Linked DNA regions of Caenorhabditis elegans. The protein of the gene in region 2 purifies or fractionates together with the protein of the main gene of each other region. This does not show direct contact. Each region holds a gene or a part of one and is shown on either strand. Other genes may lie near its edges. The genes, in order: arr-1, gly-3, usip-1 and maoc-1.

What was found.
Region 1: the proteins of gly-3 (region 2) and arr-1 fractionate together in Caenorhabditis elegans (co-fractionation; one large-scale study listed by BioGRID). This does not show direct contact.
Region 3: the proteins of gly-3 (region 2) and usip-1 fractionate together in Caenorhabditis elegans (co-fractionation; one large-scale study listed by BioGRID). This does not show direct contact.
Region 4: the proteins of gly-3 (region 2) and maoc-1 fractionate together in Caenorhabditis elegans (co-fractionation; one large-scale study listed by BioGRID). This does not show direct contact.

What each region holds. Positions count from the first base shown.
Region 1 is NC_003284.9:949,234-954,762, reverse strand, and holds arr-1 (Beta-arrestin arr-1), read right to left. Parts: upstream 3,982-5,529; 5' UTR 3,956-3,981; coding exon 3,924-3,955; intron 3,856-3,923; coding exon 3,764-3,855; intron 3,448-3,763; coding exon 3,164-3,447; intron 3,081-3,163; coding exon 2,980-3,080; intron 2,929-2,979; coding exon 2,784-2,928; intron 2,734-2,783; coding exon 2,576-2,733; intron 2,215-2,575; coding exon 2,071-2,214; intron 1,199-2,070; coding exon 1,045-1,198; intron 978-1,044; coding exon 898-977; intron 844-897; coding exon 726-843; 3' UTR 530-725; downstream 1-529. UniProt on the Caenorhabditis elegans protein: Adapter protein required for olfactory adaptation and recovery to volatile odorants, probably by desensitization of G-protein coupled receptors (GPCR). May play a role in clathrin-mediated GPCR endocytosis.
Region 2 is NC_003281.10:7,913,811-7,919,611, reverse strand, and holds gly-3 (Polypeptide N-acetylgalactosaminyltransferase 3), read left to right. Parts: upstream 1-1,844; 5' UTR 1,845-1,853; coding exon 1,854-1,999; intron 2,000-2,047; coding exon 2,048-2,202; intron 2,203-2,254; coding exon 2,255-2,640; intron 2,641-2,823; coding exon 2,824-3,696; intron 3,697-4,470; coding exon 4,471-4,620; intron 4,621-4,732; coding exon 4,733-4,861; 3' UTR 4,862-5,301; downstream 5,302-5,801. Other genes in the region: Putative protein tag-250, read left to right, coding at 35-225, 281-345, 843-1,066, 1,113-1,334.
Region 3 is NC_003283.11:12,181,001-12,186,094, forward strand, and holds usip-1 (U6 snRNA-specific terminal uridylyltransferase), read right to left. Parts: upstream 3,195-5,094; 5' UTR 3,176-3,194; coding exon 3,026-3,175; intron 2,973-3,025; coding exon 2,847-2,972; intron 2,799-2,846; coding exon 2,523-2,798; intron 2,465-2,522; coding exon 2,378-2,464; intron 2,332-2,377; coding exon 2,149-2,331; intron 2,107-2,148; coding exon 1,942-2,106; intron 1,896-1,941; coding exon 1,648-1,895; intron 1,599-1,647; coding exon 1,451-1,598; intron 1,405-1,450; coding exon 1,147-1,404; intron 1,093-1,146; coding exon 745-1,092; 3' UTR 501-744; downstream 1-500. Other genes in the region: elpc-3 (Elongator complex protein 3), read right to left, coding at 1-246, 291-410; srd-4 (G protein-coupled receptor), read left to right, coding at 3,949-4,136, 4,345-4,846, 4,892-5,094. UniProt on the Caenorhabditis elegans protein: Acts as a specific terminal uridylyltransferase for U6 snRNA. Responsible for the addition of UTP at the 3' end of U6 snRNA which stabilizes U6 snRNA. Does not have activity towards modified uridine containing 3'-monophosphorylation or 2'-O-methylation.
Region 4 is NC_003280.10:7,194,510-7,198,029, reverse strand, and holds maoc-1 (MaoC-like domain-containing protein), read right to left. Parts: upstream 1,755-3,520; 5' UTR 1,693-1,754; coding exon 1,605-1,692; intron 1,557-1,604; coding exon 1,415-1,556; intron 1,369-1,414; coding exon 891-1,368; intron 828-890; coding exon 639-827; 3' UTR 535-638; downstream 1-534. Other genes in the region: E04F6.6 (uncharacterized protein), read left to right, coding at 1-121, 276-509; acdh-12 (Very long-chain specific acyl-CoA dehydrogenase, mitochondrial), read left to right, coding at 3,267-3,431, 3,478-3,520.

The DNA.
Region 1 (5,529 bases), on a different chromosome or scaffold from region 2:
TTTCACTTGGAAACATGATGCACTGACCGAATTTGACAATGCACTGACCGAATTTGACAATGCACTGACCTAATTTGAAAACGCACATATCGAATTTGAAAAATGCACTGACCGAATTTGAAAATGGACTAATCGAATTTGAAAATTCCCAGGGCCAAACTTCTGAATGCACTGACCAAACTTCTGAATGCACTGACCAAACTTCTGAATGAACTGACGAAAGTTCGGAATGCACTGATCAAAGTTCTGAATGCACTGGCCAATTAAAAACAAATCTTCAACTTACTTGCTTTCAAATTTTCTCATAAGTTTTTTCAAGTTGTAAATTGATTTCATACACATATTATTTAGTCAATTAAATGATTTTTTGTATTTTTATAGATGTTTTAGTTTTTTTTTCTAGATTATCGTTGAATTCAGACCCACAATCTGAAAATTACATAGAAGGTTTCTGATAGCATTCCAATAATTAACAACAACAATTGAAATATTATTTGAAACCTTTGAATCTGATTTTTAAAAATAAATTGGCAAAATAGATTTATATGAGAAAAAATGAAATGAAAGAAAACGAAAAAGGTGACAATTTGACAGAAAAATTGACTTGAAGCATAGACAAAAAGATGTACTTACAAAGAAACAATGAAAAATGGGGAAAAGGTGGAAAAGACGTAGAAAAGTTGAATGACAGAGTGACACAATATCATGTGATAAATTGTACAGATTCATAGAAGGCTTGGCGGCAAGTTGGCGCTTGGCGATGGCTGGTCTTCACTATCGTTTCCGTGGAGACGCATTCTGGCAAAATCCTCAAAGATTAGATCGTCGTCGTAGCGGGGCTCTCTGAAAAATCATTGTGTATTAAATTGAATCATTCAACTCTAATCAAAAACTTACAATTCTTCGTGTAGTTGGATGAGATCAATATCGACTGGTTCGGAGCCATTTGTTGCTTCGATTGATGGAAGGCCACGATCCTGAAATTGAATAATATGGATTCAAAATTTGATTCGTAAAAAAATTATTTTGAAAATTAAAACCTACCGTTCTCTCGGGGCTCTCTGGAGGCTTCGAGTGTGTTAATGTGAACGGCAGCTCGGCGAACAGTTCTCCGTTTAGTGGTCCAAGAACTGCGCGAACTTTCACTCTGTATTGAACTACAATTCCAAGACTTTCCTTTGATGTTTTAGAGTCCAATCTGCAAAAAATTAATTATTTGATTGCCAAAATATTTTTGCTCAAACTCATATCATTGTTGTCTTGGATTTTGACGTACAATTGTTAACTAAGAATCATGCTATAACACATTTTTGAACTAAAATTTTTTGTATATACACGCATATCGCCTGGCTAGTGAATACCAACAAAATTTATCATAATTTGAATTGTCGAATGGTAAGCAAGCTTGATACATATTGTAGAAAATTTCTAGTTTCCTTTTTCAAATCAATCCTTTAAATTGGAAGGATTTTTTGGTTTTCTTAAACTTAACATTGACGATATATTTGTTCTGTAACTTATAAATTGCCCATTTGCCGGTAGCCTGGTCTCGGCAGCCAACTTGTAAATAGTTCGTTGAACTATGCAGTATCGTTTCAATGTACATATAGCATTTCTTAGTGGTTCTTTAGTGTGCTAATTAAATATTAAAAAAAGATAAATAAATGTCTCACATCCTATCCAACTGTTTCTGAATATCCTTTGAAATTTCCATTGAAAATAATCGACAATTTTTTTGTTCATAAAAACCCCCCGGTTCTCCATTAGTGAGCAGATATGCATTCCAAACATACATTCCTCTTTCCAAAACGTTATCCAATTAAACATCTCAATTCGTTCCCCACTCTCCTGAACTCTTTTGCTTAACATAAAAAGTGTATCTAAGTAGATGGAGAACTGGCGAAATTCGTTTGTAGAAGGAGACGGGGGGAAATTGAACCTTCTGAGTAAGGAAATGGCGGAAGTTTACCCTCTCTTTTCCCTTTCCCCCCATTTTCTTCTCTCGGCATCCCGATATATATATATGTTTGCGCGCCCTCTCTTTCCCTTTCCTATCGACTTTATACTCACATTGTGCTTGAAGCTAAATTAGTGTCCTCATGCTTGAGTTGTCCATCCAATGCGAGCCCTCGCTTGTCCTTGTTGTTGCTCAATAGAGGACACACTGCGAAGACCTTTGAAAGAGTGCCGCCTGGTCCGACTGGAAATCCTTCGCTGAAATAAATATTGGATTAGAGGACAAAAATAGATTGTGGAATGAGGAATTGAATATTAAAATAGAGATGGACACTTATGTATGAATTGTTTTGTACAAAAAATGAGGCGTAGAAAAATGAAAATTACTGAAACTTTTTTTAGGGGATACGAAGAGAATTGAAGTATTAAAACGTCAAATTTTGCTACATGGGAACAAGAAACAATCAATTGTGCATCTCCTGTACCTCCGTTCTAGAAATGACAGTGAACTGTGGAAAACTAGAATGTTGTAAGAGTAGTGTAGCGCTAGTAGGGCAGAATGCGAACTGATGTACTACTTTTTCGAATCAAATGTATTATAGTAAAACAAAAATCTTACTTGCTCTCAATCCTGGCAACCTCGCAGGAATACGAAGCAGTTGTGAAGAGACAAATATCAGCAACTTGAATGATGTAAATCTTCAGCTTCTTGACCGTCTTGTTGCTGTTGTTCTGGATGTGCACATTAACTGAAATCGACTCGCCGTGGTAGTACATCTAAAATTTGAACGTTTATCTTAACATTGAATTAAAATAATTCGAGGTACCTCTTTATCCAGGGAGACCTCCATATGGAGAAGTCCTGAGGACATCATAAAGTACTTGGATACATCGACCATTGGCTGGGGACGGGATTCAAATGGTGCGTAGGTCAGTTTTCTGATGGCAAGACGGACAGTGTTGCTAAGTGCGCTAAAAATTAATTTCCGTTGTTGTAATCCATATATTATTCTAAATACTTACCTCTTTTTCGGCTTCTCTCCACTACTTCCGTCAGTTACTGCCACAAATGTTTTCAGCTCGTAGTCCACTCCACATGGCTTGCCGGTGTCTCCGGGGGCTGGCTGAAATTTTGATAGGCTTTAACTACTAAATTCATAACATTGAATTCATAAGAAAAAACAGGCCACAAAAAAACAAAACCAACCTGTAGAGTAACACTACTTGCACTTTTTGGCGCAACCTCAAACCAAAATGGAAACGCGTTTGCACCAAGTTTTCGCTTCAGCCGTTCTTGCAGTCTAGACAACGGTCGAGAAATTGATTTATCAGTCTGTGGATACACTTGGAATGTCTCTGATATCAAATCCTTTCGAAATGTGAGCCCTAACACGTCGAGGTCTTCTCGGCCATATCGGAAAGCTGCTAGCAGATGGGCTGTCACTTTTCTGTTGTCTTTGATGTACTCCTCGTCGATCAAAACCATTCCATCTAAAATTAATTCTTAATAGGGTAAAATTTTTTGACTACTCCCGTCTTAGTCGCACTATTCAGTAATTGCGTTCATTTCTATGTTGTCAGTGCTATAACATTTTTGGTCAGTGCTATAACATTTTTTGTCAGTGCTATGACCAATAAAAGCGTTTTCCTTATTTTGTACGTCGAATAGAAAATTTGCGAGGTTTCTGCCAACCGACTTCCATACTCAGAAAACGCGCAAAAAACCAATCAACGCTCTAAACCAAATCACGCGATAAACCAGTCAGTATAAAGCCCACATTCTGTGGCTCGGTGCCCTTATTCTCACCTATCAAGTCGACATAGTCACCGCGGTCGATAAAATCTCTTTTGCCAAGATATGTGGTTATTTTTCCATTTGGGCTCGTCTTTTTGAACACTCTGCAAAATTTGTCTTTTTTTATATACGTTTAAAGTTAAAAAAAAATTATTTTCCCAGTTCCACCAACCTTGTGCCCGATTTTTTGTCCTCATCTACCATTGTTGACTAGTAAACTAGCAATCGAGCTGAAAATTGAAAAGTGAACGAAATTGAGAAATGAATGACACCTAGGCAAAAAAAAGAGAGAAAAAGAGAAAAACGTAGCGAGAATAAGCGTCAAACTTTGAATAAATCATACGCGTTACGAATTGAATTCTGGATTCGAGGATAAAATTGGAGGAAGCAAGAATTATTTAAGACAAAGGATATGGAGTCGATAGCAGTAGCTGTGTTGCCAGTTGCTGACGTAATAAAAATAATTTAATTAAAATATGAAGCGAACCATTTGAACCTATTAAAACGTTCCAACTATTTTTTATTGAAAATAATAATAATAAAAAAAAGATCGAAGATTCATATGTTTATTGTTCACTGTAAAATTTGTATGTGGCGGAAAAGTTGACTAATACATTGAAAACTTGGTCAGTGCTATTTTAATGATGCTCAAGTTGGTCAGTGCTATTTTAATGCTGCTCATGTTGGTCAGTGCAAAAAATATGGCAAGTGTTTCACAGCTGAATATAAGATTTAATTTCGAGAGCGGCATAAAACTTGAAAATAATTTACTCCTTAATAACAGGTGTAAAATACCTAGATTAGTTGATCTGAATGAATTTAGATTAACTTTTAGCTGAGGTTTTGACCTTTTCATACTGGCTACTCTTATAATAAAACCAAAATTAGTTATTAAAATTATCTTAATTGAGTTAAATTGAATACCTTCTTAGGTATTGTACATATGTACACATAGGTTTCAATTTTTCCTACTCCCAATCTCGTTATTATCTGGTTTCCAATTTCTCTGTGCCAACAAAAATGTGACATGAATCGATATAGCTATTAGTTATTAATTAGGTTCTGAAGCTTACATTCTAAACTTTCTAGTACTTTCAAGTTATTTTTCTTAATTAAAACTTTCAAAAACCACAAGTCTAAGCGAAAAAATGTGTGCAGTGAGAGAGAGATGGAGAGCAAAAAATTAGCATGTATGTTTGGCCAGGAGTCCTCATTTGAAAACAAATGATGCGGTCGGGGGCGTCCGCAATTGCGCCACAAACGACGACACATTGCGTACGCCTCCTTCTCGAAACCGGTGAGGATGATCGGGCGGATTGAGACACCGCACAGAGAGTGAGATGAAGAGAGGGAGAGAGCACCCACCAATGCACCCATAAACCCCTCTTCCTCCCTTCTCTATCCCTTGTAATATCTCATTGTGTATGTGTGTGTGTCTATGTCACAATTGTGTCGTCTCTCATTCTCTCGTTGTATCTCTGTTTGGAAAAATAGGCAAAGAGAGAAAGAGAGAATACGCGAAAAACAGCCTATTAACTTTACTTTTCTCGCTTCTTTTTTTTGTTGCTCAATACCACCTTAACCGGTTTGTTTATTGATTTTGGCATTGTTATTGAGCTGTTTTTGACATTGCTTTTCTACATCGAACATTTTCTTTATAACTTCCTTTTTGAAAGACAACTTGCAGTGATTTGTTTTTAAAAAAATTGTTAAAAGCTCAATTCTTTGTCCAACCATGACAGTTAATCATTTGAACACAACTTTAAAATTTTGGCAAG
Region 2 (5,801 bases):
TTGATGTTTAGAAATTTTAGAATAACATTTTCAGATCCAACCAATGACCGTTGCTCAAATGCCGATGTCAGCGTTCCCAGCAAATGCAATTTTCGCTGCAGGACCCACGGACATCTCATTACGGCAACTTTCATTAGACCCGATGCCCGATTATATGTATGCAAAGTTGAAAGACGAATGTGCTCTGCCTGATTCTCAACTGGAAAGTTCTCCTGATTTTGGAGGGTGAGACTTTTTTTTTTGATTTGAAAAAATTTAAGCTAAATATTTGAAAATTTAGATTCTACGCGGCTTTTATCGATGATCGTTGGGAACGTGTTCAGTGTATTCGTGCGAGTAAAATTGGTAGGTATATTTATTTATTATTTTATTTACTGTACCAGGAAATTTTTGAAAAAAAAATTTTCGAAAATTACTGTACCAGTTCTCGACACAACAAATTTTCATTAAATACAAGAGGCTGTGCGCTTTTAAAAAGTACTGTAAATCAAAAGATCTCGTTACTTTGGAATTTTTATAGTTTTTCGTAAAAATGTTTGAAATTACAGTACTCTTTAAGACGCACACATCTTTTCATTCAACATAAATTTGTCGCGTCGAGACCGAATACCGTAACTTTGAAAAAAATTGCAAAAATAGTTTTGTAATATTGAACTGTGATTTTGGAAAAATTTAAATATCCTGTTCAAAATTGCACTTTTGAAAAAGTAAATAAAACAATTGTGAGTTTCTCAGTATATCTGAATTTTTCGCACATTTTTCCCAAAAAAAAAAACAAAACATCTACAATCTTGCTGAGTATTATACCTTTTTTCCTTGAAATGTCCATCTTTTTTTTTCAGACAAACAAGCCTATTGTGTATATCTTCTGGATGTGGGCGCTTTCCAATACGTGCGAAAAGAAGCAATGCGACGTCTCAACTCCACGTCACCATTCAAAAAAATGCTGATGTTCAAGTGTAAAATCGGAGGAATCAAACCAGTTGCTGGAGGAGAAGTTTGGAGCCGCGAGTCACATGAAGCTGTTCGAGAATTCTTTGAAGCAGCATGTGGTGAACCTGTTGTGGTAAGTCATGAAAAGAATACTTTCAAATGCAAATTAATTATTTCAGGTTGAACCAACTCAGCCTGGATGGTCTCAATGGAAACAATTAAATGCTCCAGCTGTTCCAACCTGTGAAGCTCGTTTATCTTGTTGTGGTAGAGATATTGGTGACTGGCTCATCGCGTGTGGTTTGGCTCTTCCAATAAATGCACCAATTCCAAGTCCCAATTCACAGTCACTTCTTACTTTTGTTCCAACACCAATTAATATTGTTGGCAGAAATATTTGAATATTTTCTGATCCGTCTTCATTACAAAGCTTCTAATCAATTTTGTGCTTTATTTTTTTCTAATTTTTGAATATTGTATATTTTCATAATTCCTCAGTTTTGCCGATTAGTAGTCTTTCTCTGAAAATTCAAAAATATTTGCTCAGTTTTCCACTTTTCTCTTCAGTTTTTATTCTTTCTAGTTTCATAATTCTGTGATAATTTCAGTTTTATTGTCTTTTAATTATTTTTGTGCTTCTCGTATATTTTGCTTGTTGGAATAATAATTGTTAAAAAATTTTAAAAAATTTGTTCACGGTTTATTAGTTTTGATATAAAACGTGTTCAAATAGACACGTATTAATATTTTTATTTGAATTTTTAAAACCATTTTTTTGTATTCTCTATCACAAAAGTTATCATGTTTTCAATTTTCCAGTACTATTCAAGAAAATTTAGCCTTGTTAAATAATTTTGATCGGAATTTATCTTCTTTTTTCCCCTGAATTTTTAATCATTCTCTAATTTCAGAGTAATTGAATGCTGAGTGTGGGCGGTGGTCGTTCGGCAGTATGTCGTGCTGTCATTGCCACTTCCATCGTCTGGTTGCTCATTGATGTTGTTATTCTTTTTTACTATCTCGATCCATCCACATCACAACAACAGCCATTTCCGGAGGATAACAGGTATTCTATTAAAATTATTTACATCAACTAATTGTTATCATTTTTAAGAATCTTGAATCGTGCTCGACGGATAGAACCACTACCACCAGCAGCTCAACATGATTCAGATCCAGATGCTCATCCTATTCAACCTGAAAAACAAGAGAAACAAGTTTACCCCGTTGACAAAGAAACTGCAAATCAATTGAGGAAACTTATGGAAAGTGAGCTATTGCAAAATATAAAAATTTATATTTAAACAATTGTGTATTTCAGCTCAAGCATTTGGCCCAGGGTACCATGGACAAGGAGGTACTGGAGTCACAGTTCCAGAAGACAAAAAAACTATAAAAGAGAAGAGATTCTTGGAGAATCAATTCAATGTTGTCGCTTCTGAAATGATTTCAGTTAATAGAACTCTACCGGATTACCGATCAGATGCATGCCGCACGTCTGGAAATAATTTGAAAACTGCTGGAATGCCAAAAACTTCCATTATTATTGTTTTCCATAATGAAGCATGGACAACACTATTGAGAACACTCCATTCGGTTATCAATCGATCGCCACGTCATTTATTGGAAGAAATTATTTTGGTGGACGATAAGTCTGATCGAGATTACTTGGTCAAACCGTTGGATTCCTATATCAAAATGTTCCCAGTAAGTTATATAAGTTGAATTGTAAATTGCGACTTCCGAAATACAGTAACCCTAGTTCTTCGTTAAAGGATGGAGACAAAAAATTTCCATCTCAGGGATAGCCAGAACACAGAAAATTTGAATAATAAAACGAAAATTTTTCGATTTTTCGATATTAGACTTAAACAGACAACCTTTTTTCAGATTCCAATCCACTTGGTTCATCTCGAGAATCGATCCGGTCTAATCCGTGCTCGCTTAACCGGATCTGAAATGGCGAAGGGAAAGATCCTTCTCTTCCTGGATGCACATGTGGAGGTTACCGATGGATGGCTTGAACCACTTGTATCAAGAGTCGCTGAAGACAGAAAACGAGTTGTTGCTCCTATAATTGATGTAATTTCTGATGATACCTTCGAATATGTGACTGCTTCCGAAACAACATGGGGTGGATTTAATTGGCATTTGAACTTCCGATGGTATGCTGTACCGAAGAGAGAATTGAATAGAAGAGGATCAGATAGATCAATGCCTATTCAAACACCAACTATTGCCGGTGGTCTTTTTGCTATTGATAAGCAATTTTTCTATGATATTGGAAGTTATGATGAAGGAATGCAAGTATGGGGTGGAGAAAACTTGGAGATATCATTCCGAGTCTGGATGTGTGGAGGTTCTCTTGAAATTCATCCATGTTCTCGTGTTGGACACGTTTTCCGCAAACAGACTCCATACACTTTCCCAGGTGGAACAGCGAAAGTCATCCATCATAATGCAGCACGTACAGCAGAAGTTTGGATGGACGAATACAAGGCATTCTTCTACAAAATGGTGCCAGCCGCCCGTAACGTTGAAGCTGGAGATGTTAGCGAAAGAAAGAAGTTGCGAGAGACGTTGCAATGTAAATCATTCAAGTGGTATCTGGAGAACATCTATCCAGAAGCACCATTGCCTGCAGATTTCCGATCGCTTGGAGCAATTGTGAATAGATTTACTGAAAAATGTGTTGATACGAACGGAAAGAAAGATGGGCAAGCTCCAGGAATTCAAGCATGTCATGGTGCTGGTGGAAATCAGGTTTGTGCTTTTGATTTGACGTTAAAATACTGTATTACCCAAAAGCGAGATTTTTTGATTTTTGCGGTACTACGGTACCCGGTCTCGACACGACTAACTTTCGTTAAATGCAAAAGGGTACGCCCCTTCAAAGTATACTGTAATTTCAAACTTTTTTTGACGCGGAAACTTCATCAAATTATCATAGAATTTCGATAACGATATATTTGACTGCTTGAAAAACTCAAATAAAACAATCAAAACAGATAACTTTAAAAAAACAATTTGAAATCGGTGAAAATTCCGCGGCACCAAATGTTAAAAACTACAGTATTCTAAAAAGGCGCAAACTTTTTTGGAATTAACTAAAGTTGATCGTGTCGAGACCGAGTACCGTATTTTTGGCGCAAAAATAACTGAATTTCGCTTCTGATAACAAAACAATTAATTTCGTATCTTTGAAATTCCTCTTTACCAAAAACGACAGTACCCTTCCTAAAAACATTAATTCGCGTTATTTTTATTAATGCTTTTTACTAACACTTTCAACTAACAGACTATACAATTTGCTGATGGCCACAAACTACTAATAATATCTGATCAGCGAGATATGAGATATGAACGGGCTCCGTTTCTTGCGAATTATCAGGTTTTGGTGAAGAGAGTGAATTGGGATGGTTTTTATTTTAAGTTTTGGGAAATATTTAAGTTTGGGATTTACCGGTGAAAACTACGTTTCTCTCTCCCCTCTCTATATAACTCGTATTCTAATATTAAACATTAAATAAGTTCCAGGCATGGTCATTGACTGGAAAAGGAGAAATTCGATCGGATGACTTATGTCTTTCATCTGGACATGTATATCAAATAGGATCAGAGCTCAAATTGGAACGTTGCTCCGTGAGCAAAATCAATGTTAAACATGTTTTCGTGTTTGACGATCAGGTAAGAGAACCAGAATTTTACATTTTAAGCTCAGCAAGTAAAGAACATTATCTTAATTCGGAAAATACTTTCTAGTTTATCTATACACTAAAATTTTTTTCCGCTATTTCAGGCCGGTACATTGCTCCACAAGAAAACAGGAAAATGTGTAACAGGCGCCGATCAACGGGTGACACTGGATGAATGTGGTCTCGGACGGAAAGATCAAATGTGGCAATTAGAAGGATATCAGAGCCCTTAGAGCATCTTTTATTTTATTTTTATTCTCATAAAACGTCACAATTTCTTATTTTCTCCCATTATATCCTCCCATTTTCCACATTTTCAGTATTGATTTCAGTCCAAAATTCTCTCTCGGTGTCCATCGTTTTCCTATTTTCCCTCTCAAAATCGTCCATACCACCAGTGCCTTCATATTAGAGTTGCGAGTGCACTCTAACGAGAATTTGTGAGAAAAATTCAACTTTTTCGGCCTATAATAATTGTAATTTATGTAATTGTGATAGCCTTTGAGATTCGAGCATAATTTATTTATTGATCCCCCATTTCCCTTCAAAAATATCCATTTTCATTGCATTTCACTCCATTCTCAATCCATTCCAAAATCGTTTTGGTTGTGAAACTCTATTACTACGTCTCTTTTTTTCCTTTTACGAGTTCAATAATAAGTTGAAATTTAAAAAAAAGTTTATTCTACAAAAGTCAATGTTCAGGTAGCTTTCATAAGAATCGTGACATCTCCTTGTTGAGCACCAGCTTTGAGTGGTCCCCTGAGCATCTGTCTCATCAGCAGGAACTTCAGCATATTGAAGCATGGTTTTTTTATCATCTTTAACCTGTGACCTTCGATGCGAATTGTCTCAAATTTCATTGTTCCTTTTGCCTCGACAAATCCATATACGGGACGAACTCGGTAGTGCTCATTATTTGATGACTTCGCCGAAATATAACATTTGTTCTGTTTCCGTTTCAAGGGGACATGATTTTTTAAAATGGTCTCTCTATGCGACCTGCATTTAGAAAACATTTATGTACAGTTTTTGCAAAAATTGCAGATTTAGGTTTGCAGATGCAGAAAATTGTGAGCAAGACTAATAGATATGTGAATGAGACGAATAAATTGCGACCTACATGTAATATTTTGTACAGTTATCTTCAAGGCGCACAATACAAAACTGATT
Region 3 (5,094 bases), on a different chromosome or scaffold from region 2:
ACTTTGTGTTGAATACTCGAAATCAGAATCTGGCCCACCGGGACAATAGACACAAATGTTTCCAGTGAAATTGATGTGAGGACAACGATGTGGTTTGCTCATCACTGCTACAACAGCAATTCCAGAAGCAGTTCGAACTGGTTTTGCCTTGAGTTTTGGAAGAAGGCTGTCTTTGTAATCGGACGGAACTCCAGCGATAATGTCAACGAGTTTCGGTTGAAAACTCAGTCCATTCTTTTGAGCAACCTGAAAATATTTATTGAAATGTGTTTTACCGCCTAACCACATACGATGCATTTCAGCCGATTCAAGTTGACATCCTTTTTTTGATTGTGAGCTTCAATAAGAAGCTTGACAATTTCATTTATTGTTTGTGCCAGTAGTGCTCTTTGTGAACCCTTCTGATCCATCTGAATACAGTTTTGATACATTTCCTATTCAAATTGATGTTTTAGATATAAATTGGAATATTAACCGACAATGAACTCAAAAATCGCTTTCAAGATGACCAGTGTATTTCAAACTTAGAAATTTCGATATACATAAATAGAACACAGACCGAGAAGTGATCATGAAAGTTGGGTGTTGAATATAATAAAGCGGAAAAATTATTTGTTGAGATTCAATGGAAAATGGTCACTGGGTGACGTGTCAGAAAAATACCGGAATAAATATGAAATAAAATATATGGTGGATCATACATACAAATCGAATTCATAGAACACTTATACATTGAGAACATGATTATGGCCAAGTTGGGGCTGCAATTGGAATCCTGGAAATGGTTTGAACGCCATTCTTCTCGAGGTCATCGTAGTTATTGTTAATGAATTGATCAATCAAAAAGTGGATTGCGTCGCGAACTTCGGAAACTTGACCACGCATTATATCGATGCATGCCAACCTAATTCTGGTGCCAGGAACAGTGCTCATCGAGATACGCAACTCCGCAATATCTTCTTCGTAATCGTACTTGTCACTGCACATAACATCAATCTGGAGAGGCGTCAAATCGTGACGAGAGTTTTTCAAAGCGCGTTTCGTATTGCGACGTCCAACCCAAGCTCTTGAAGTTACAAGGAAAATGGCACCCTGAAATTAATAGTAGTTGTAAACGTCACATTCTTTCTATTCTATAGAACTAACCGTTGGAGTACATAAATCAACAACACTGGGTCCTTGCTCATTCGGACAGACATTAAAGCGAAGAACTCTAGTAAGAAGGAGGAAAAGATCACTCGAGGTTATCACCACGGCTGGAAGTTGTACTGACAAGTACTGGTGCTCGGCTCCATCAGTTACTCTAGTTGATATACTGATTTTTGGCTCTCTGCTCTTCATAAGCATAGTAGCCATCGTGTTGGTTTCCAGAAGATAGTTGATGTGAAAATGATTTTGTTTCAACTGAAAATATAACTTTTAATCCATAAACAATCAAAATAATGCTTACAATGAAAAGAGCGTTCCGAATAAGACCATTTAGTAGTTTGACCGCGTCTTCTGTTACTTTTGCCGAAATATTATGAGTAATATCCATGGGATCCATCAACATCAACGGAGATTCTTCAACGCCTCCGTGCGCACTTGAGAGTGTTTTTCTAAAAAAAAATATACAAATTAGTTGTGAGAAATTAGTTTTTAACTTACTTTTGCATCGCTTTCTTCCCGTAAATCGCTTTGTTCGTAAAATCAAAGTTGGCATAGTATTTGAAAAGCTCTCGGAAAAACTTGCAATAATCGCCGAACAGAGTGTCAAAGTTGTATTCATTGACTCGAGAATCTCGCTTTGCTTGAGGATTCACATGAACCTTGTTGGTTGCTGCTTGAACAAAATGAATAACGAGCTGATTGATGATGTAAGAGTTCAGCTTTGTCTTGACTTCAAGCTTCTCTTCCTAAAATAATGAAGTTTAAGAACTGCCTAATTCAATATATAATTACCGGATAGTCACCCGATAGCAACTTATTTGATTTTGCCCAGTGTACGATGAACATCATTGCATTTTTCATTCTACTTCCCTTCGACTTGTCTTTTACGATGAATTCATGCAACAAGCTCGCCTTCTCAACACTGATTTGATTGTGAACTGATAGATCGTATGACACCTGAAATGAATGAATTATCAATGTTTGAAAGCGTCAACATACATTCATTCCTTCCACTTCGATATTTTTGAAGACTATGATTGGAGTGCGTGCAGGTAAGAAACGCATCTCGAATTTAGTTTTGAATGCACTGTTCTCGTTGAAGCACCGGTAGAGAATTTTGATAATTTCCTCTTGTGGGTATGTCTCAAGCTCCGATTTGGTTAGTGGATGAGTGATGAGACACTGTAATTGTATATTGTTTCAGGACAATTTACAGTAATTTTTGTACCTTTGGATTTGCCACAACTTCGTTCAATGGTCTTACATTTGTAGAAACGCGTTGACCTGGAGCGCTGACTGATTCCACGTTAATGTCCTAAAAACATTATTGTTTCTTAATAAAATAAAATAAAATTATTTTTCTAACAACTTACAATGTCTGAGTAACCATTTCGCCGCACCGGTGATGCAAAAGAGCCGAACATCTCACAAGCAGAATTTTGAATGAGCTCAGAAACCCCTTGTTCAATGAAGGAAAATCCATCTTCGAGAATTTTTAAGCGTTCAGGAAGTTCTTGACAGATAGCCATTGTCAACACTTCCAAAAGCTCGTCGTTATTGAAGTGCGGTTGCGAAGTTTTCATGAAATCAATGGCATCTTGAAGTCTGAATCCGTTCAAGCCTAGAAGGGGAGTGAACACGATTTTCGTCTGAAAATAAAAGGAATTGTATACAATCAGCTAAAAATAATTATTTACATTGTTGATTGCAAATCCTTTAGCGATGGAATCGTGGCAAATCCTGTTGGCTTCATCTATTGATTCCATTTGCAATATCATAAACTGATCTTGATCTTCAGGTGTTGGAGAGTATCCTATTTTCTCCTAAACGGTTTAATTTCAAATGCTTGTTTTCACAGCATAACAATATTTTTTACCTTACAACCAAGTTTATACTCAACCGACTCCACGAAGACAACGACAGCAATTGCAGAAGGAACCATAGCTGTCGTATCATTTCGATTCCAACGAGCAACAACGAATTGACGACTATCAAACGTTTCAACCAGTTGCAAGTTTGAAGACATTATCGCATAACTGAAATATCTGGAAAAATATATAATTTTAGGTAAACAAAGAGGATGGAGAATGGAATCATGCGTTGCCATGGAATCGAATACACTAGGGAATCTTCGTCGAAAATTCGAGCAAAACAATTTTCATTATAATAAACAACACATTGCATTTTGTTATAGGTTACAAATTAATTGGAACGTGCGCATTCAGGGATTTAAATTTTGCGTTTATCAGAATAATAATAAAAAAAGAGTAACAAATTTTAAATAGATTCGCGCAATAAAAAAGTTTTTCGAAAAATGACTGAAAAACTGAGTTGATAAACTACACGCGCATCGTTATATCGGAGTGTCGTAAGTGGCGGATTTTCAAATAAATTTTTATTGACAAATTTTAGTTGTGGACCTAGTACTAGTATGTATTTGTCTAGTAAGTTTTCTCTGCATTGCCTTTCTAAAGGGAAAAAGTTGTTTTTAAAAAAAATTATTAAATAAATTTTATAAAATTGTCTTAGAAATTATTTGCATTGATTGATCAGAATCCTTCTAATCAACCAAAACTTATGCCTGCTTAAAAATTATAAACATCATTCCATAAACATCGGTCTTTCAAAGATTGAATTTGAATTAATAATATTTTTTATTTGGAATTGAGTTCGTCTACAAACGAAAAAATAAACGGAAATTCGATTCTGATTGCTGGGATTCGAATAAAAGGACAAGCATAACATAAATCGGAAATCGAATTTAGTATATAAATGTAAAAATATCAAAAATGTACAAAGATGTTCCTTTTGGTTATATTTATTCTACACTATGTGCTCGCTTTTCTCGGAATTGTTTTCAATACGATTTTGATTTTTCTAACTTTATTCAGAAGCCCTAAATCTATTGGAACATTTTCTATATTATTGACTGTCAGAGGTGGATCTGATGCACTTGCTTGTTTTTTTGATATTTTCAGTCAATCAAGGTAATTTCCAAATTTTATTTTGCATTTCCTAGCAATGCACCATGTTCTCGATATGCTCTAGTTTCTTCCAATAATGTCAAAATTAAGCAGGGCCGTTTTCATGTTTTCCACGCTTATATATAATTCATGAGATTACACTTTCAAAAAAGAACCCAAATTTTTTCTTTATACTCCAATGGCGAGTTGAGCTATATATAATTAATTTCAGATTAATCCCAAGTGGTACAACACTTGGAATTGCTTCAACTGGACTTTGCAAATATCTCAGTGAATGGTCTTGTTTTCTGGGTTTCAGTCTTCAACTTCATTTTCATTCATATTCTTTTCATCTTCTAATTCTCTGTTTTATATTCCGATGTTATGTTCTTCTGGAAAGATATCCAAAAGCTAAACAGCTTATCATTTTAATTTGCATTATATACTTCCCATCATACTTGCAAGCAATTTTCGTATTCATTGATAACAACAAGCCAGAAGATGTTCGACAACTTATTCAAATTCATCATTCTCAATATAAATTACAAGATTTTGTTATAAATGGACATGCTGATCTTCGAGAATTTCCGTGTTTGTTTTCATATCTTCTAATGCTTATTCCAATTATCCCTGGATATTTGATTATGTATGGGCTCCGCCGAAAAATACACTTCAAGTTACGAAATGCAATTCTCCGTCCGGAAATTCGAGAAAAACATAGACAGCTGACTTGGGTTAGTCTGAAAATGTAAATTATTTTGAAATATGATTTATTGCAGGCACTGACAGTTCAGACTATTGTTCCAATTGCTTTTATATTCTCATCAATTTGTTTCCTACTTGGTCAGCTGAGGATCGTTGAATCTCCAGTTCTTGAAAGTTTCACACTTCTTTTTGCCGTTTTGGTTCCCGTTATCAATCCATTGATTACCGTTACTTTTATCAAACCGTATCGAGAATCTGTCATGAGAGCAGTTGGAAT
Region 4 (3,520 bases), on a different chromosome or scaffold from region 2:
CTATTGGTCACAATATCAAGAAATCGGAGCAAATTGGTATGAAGGAAAATATGGATATAAGTCTGGATGGAGTGTTCCACTTGTACAATCACTTGGTATTGAAGGAGACACACATGCTGTTGTGAGTTTTTTTAATGCAGAAAATTTATTACTCGAACTTTTTCAAATTTGGCGGTTCATAATTTGAATTCGAGTTTAGAGAAGCATTGCGTACATTTTTTAATATTTGAAGCGGTGTGTGACAAGTTGAATAAGTTCCTATCAAAATATTTCAGGTGAGTGTTCCCCTTAAACCTGGAGAGGCTGGAAAACCAATTGGCGTAGATGTTGGAGGTGGAGTTGGACCTTATTATCAACAGAATCAACACGTTGGAGTTGATTATCTAAATGGTCAAGTTGGTACAAACTTTGGAGTTGGTGTTCCGATGGCTGGTGTTGGGGTGAATACAGGTGTTGGTGTAACATTCCCAGGAGTCAATGATATTGTTGGGAAGAAGAAAAGGAAATAATAATCTTCAAGAGAATTTGTGGAAAAAGAAAAAAACGGTTTATTCACATATGATATTCAGGAAACAAAATACGATAAAACTAATACGATCTACTTAATCTTACCAGTGAATAAATAATTCTTTAAATTTTTACAATTTTGATGCAAGATCAATTGGAACTGTTGGAAGTTCGGAAGCCTCGTGCAAGTCAATAAAGGCGTTGGAAATTACAATTTTTCCAGTTTCCTTAACCTTCATTTGGAAAATAATTCGTTTTCCATTCTTCCAGGTTTCAGTAACCAATGTTTGTCCTGGAAGCACTGGCGATGAGAATCGAACCTGAAAATTAATGATTTTTGAATCAGCAGAAAATATTTTAAAGTTAAATTTAATCAAACCTACCTTGATTGCTTTGAATTTGTCAGAATCATTTCCAGCCCAAGCAGCGATAACATGGCGTGTCGCAAATCCCAGACTGCACAATCCATGAAGAATTGGAGTTTTGAATCCAGACATCTTAGCAAACTCTGGATCAACGTGAAGAGGATTCATATCTCCTGATCCCAAACGATAAAGAGCAGCTTGATCAACTGTTGTCTTTTGTTCAATAACTGCATCTGGAGCTCTATCTGGGACAGTGGCAGCTTTTATTTCATGAGGTGATGTACGATCCCCTCCGAAGTTACCAGAACCGGTTTGAAAAGTACTGAATTGTTGCATTGCAATCTTCTTTCCATTTTCATCATAAGTGGTAACATTTCCAAGAATCAAAGCACCGGATCCTTTGTCAAGAATATCAACGACTCTAGCTTCAGATTTCAATTTTCCTTCTGCTGAAAGTGGTTGATAGACTTCAATATATTGTTCTCCGTGAAGAACTCTAAAATGATTAAACATGTGTTTTCAAGAAATCTTATAAGAAAAACCTCTGAAGATCAAATTCAACTCCTGGCCAATCCATCAAAGTGTGAGCTTGAAATCCTGGAGCAACAATGTACGATGGAAGCACTTTAAAGTCTTCATGGTTCTCATAAACGTAGCACAAATCTTCTTTCGCTCGAGCACCAACTAAATGAAATTATTAATCACTATTCAAAAGGTCTTAGAAAAAATTACCTCCAAGAGCATAAATAATAGCATCTCTGGTAGAATATGAGAACTCGCATGGCTCTGCCACATGTGCGCAAGCAGTTTTCTTATCCATTTTTAAGTATTTGTCGGAGAAGAAACAAAAACCAAATAATGAAATAGAAAATGCCAATACCTAACAAGGAATCGGTACAGTGTAGTCTTGACCCCATGTGTTGATAAGACTACGCTGCAGACTACATAACGAGGGTGAAATCAATAGTTTTTTTTTAAAAATAAGCACTAAAAGAATTATTACCACATACTGATAATTATTAGATGTTTTAAATAATTTGCAAAAAAAGTATACAAGGCTTTAAATTTCAATTAAAAAATATATAAAAACTAGACTTTTGTCGGGAGAGATGTACAACGTGTTCATAGTATACTATAGTATTTGGGTTTCAACTTATAGAAAATGATCGAATAAATTTCCTTCGTTTTGAATTTTGAAGCGAAGCACGCACAAAAATTAATAGACCAGTTTCAGATTTCTCTTAATTCAGAAACATTCATCAAATACCTATGACGCCTTGTCGTCTGTTCAATAAAATTAACATGGAAGGTCGATTTATTTTTTCCGATATTTAAACAACCAAGGATTGTTTGTCGACTGTTAAATAGCTAAATTACAGTATCCATTCTACGAACCATTTCTCTTTCTTTAATTAAAAAAATAAAGCTTATTTTTTCGCGTAAAAGCCTTCCGAAAAATTCACACGTTTTCAAACTTGTGCATTCGCTAAATTAGTTTATATTTTCACTCGTTCACTTTCGTACATTGAAAGAATTCCAAATTCCATACGGTTCGTTTCTATAATGTACAGATTTATTCAGATGTAAAAAACATTAAAACATGAGCCGTCAAATATAGTGCCGACGGTGTGAACACACCACCGTAACACCGTGACGACAGATTGCGGATTCATTTTTCTTTCAGAGTACGATGCAGAAAACTTCTGTAATTGTCGTTTTTTTTCTATTTTAATTTATTTTGTGGCCGTTAAAGATAAAATATAAGACAACAAGTGTTCATACGAATTTTTCAGTACCATGAGGTGACCCGTAGAGCTATAAAATCATGTTTTTCTTGAAAATTTCATCGAACCTGCGCTAAAGTGTATTTTATCACATTGTCTTTTCACTAGTGCGTAGCCAGGGCCGTTCAAAGTACATAGGGCAAAGTCTACAAGAGATAACAATGACCGTCCTCCACGTTTCCTCTCCATCGTTTGTGTATGTTGGCGATTAATCAGTTTATTATGGAAAATTTACGAAAAATACTGAGCAAACCATGTTTCCAGTTATTTTTAGTTAACTTTTAAACTTCTTATTTTATGAAACACTCTTTTATGTAATCCAAAAAAAGCAAAAAACCTATTCGTTCTTTTTTGCGTTCATATAAAATGCTAAATACTTTTCTATAAAACTTATTCTGAATTCTATTTATTTTGATTGCTCTTGGACGTTCAGTGTAAAAAAGTATTGTTATGTCTGTGTTCTATGTTCTCTCACATGCTGCGTCTCTGCTCTATCCACCGTTCGACCCCCAAGTTGTTTTCTTCACTCTTTATCTCCGTCATCGCTATTTACCCCCTACTGATTCACTGATTGAAACCTATATTATTGGTTTTTTCTTCCAGAGAAACGATGCTGTCAACGCTGAGTAAATCTGCACGGCTCAACCAAACACGATTCATTCGTCTTTCGCATTCTGCTGCTGCTGCAAAAGATGCAAAACCGAAGAAGGTCGCTGCAGTGGACAGTCCATCATTTGTCATGAATCTTTTCAGAGGGAAAGCTGTGACTGACCAGGTATTTGAGAATTTTAGCAGGACCTGTTCAAACTGCCAATTTCCAGGTGTTTCCGTATCCTCTGAATATGACTGACGAACAGAAAGAAA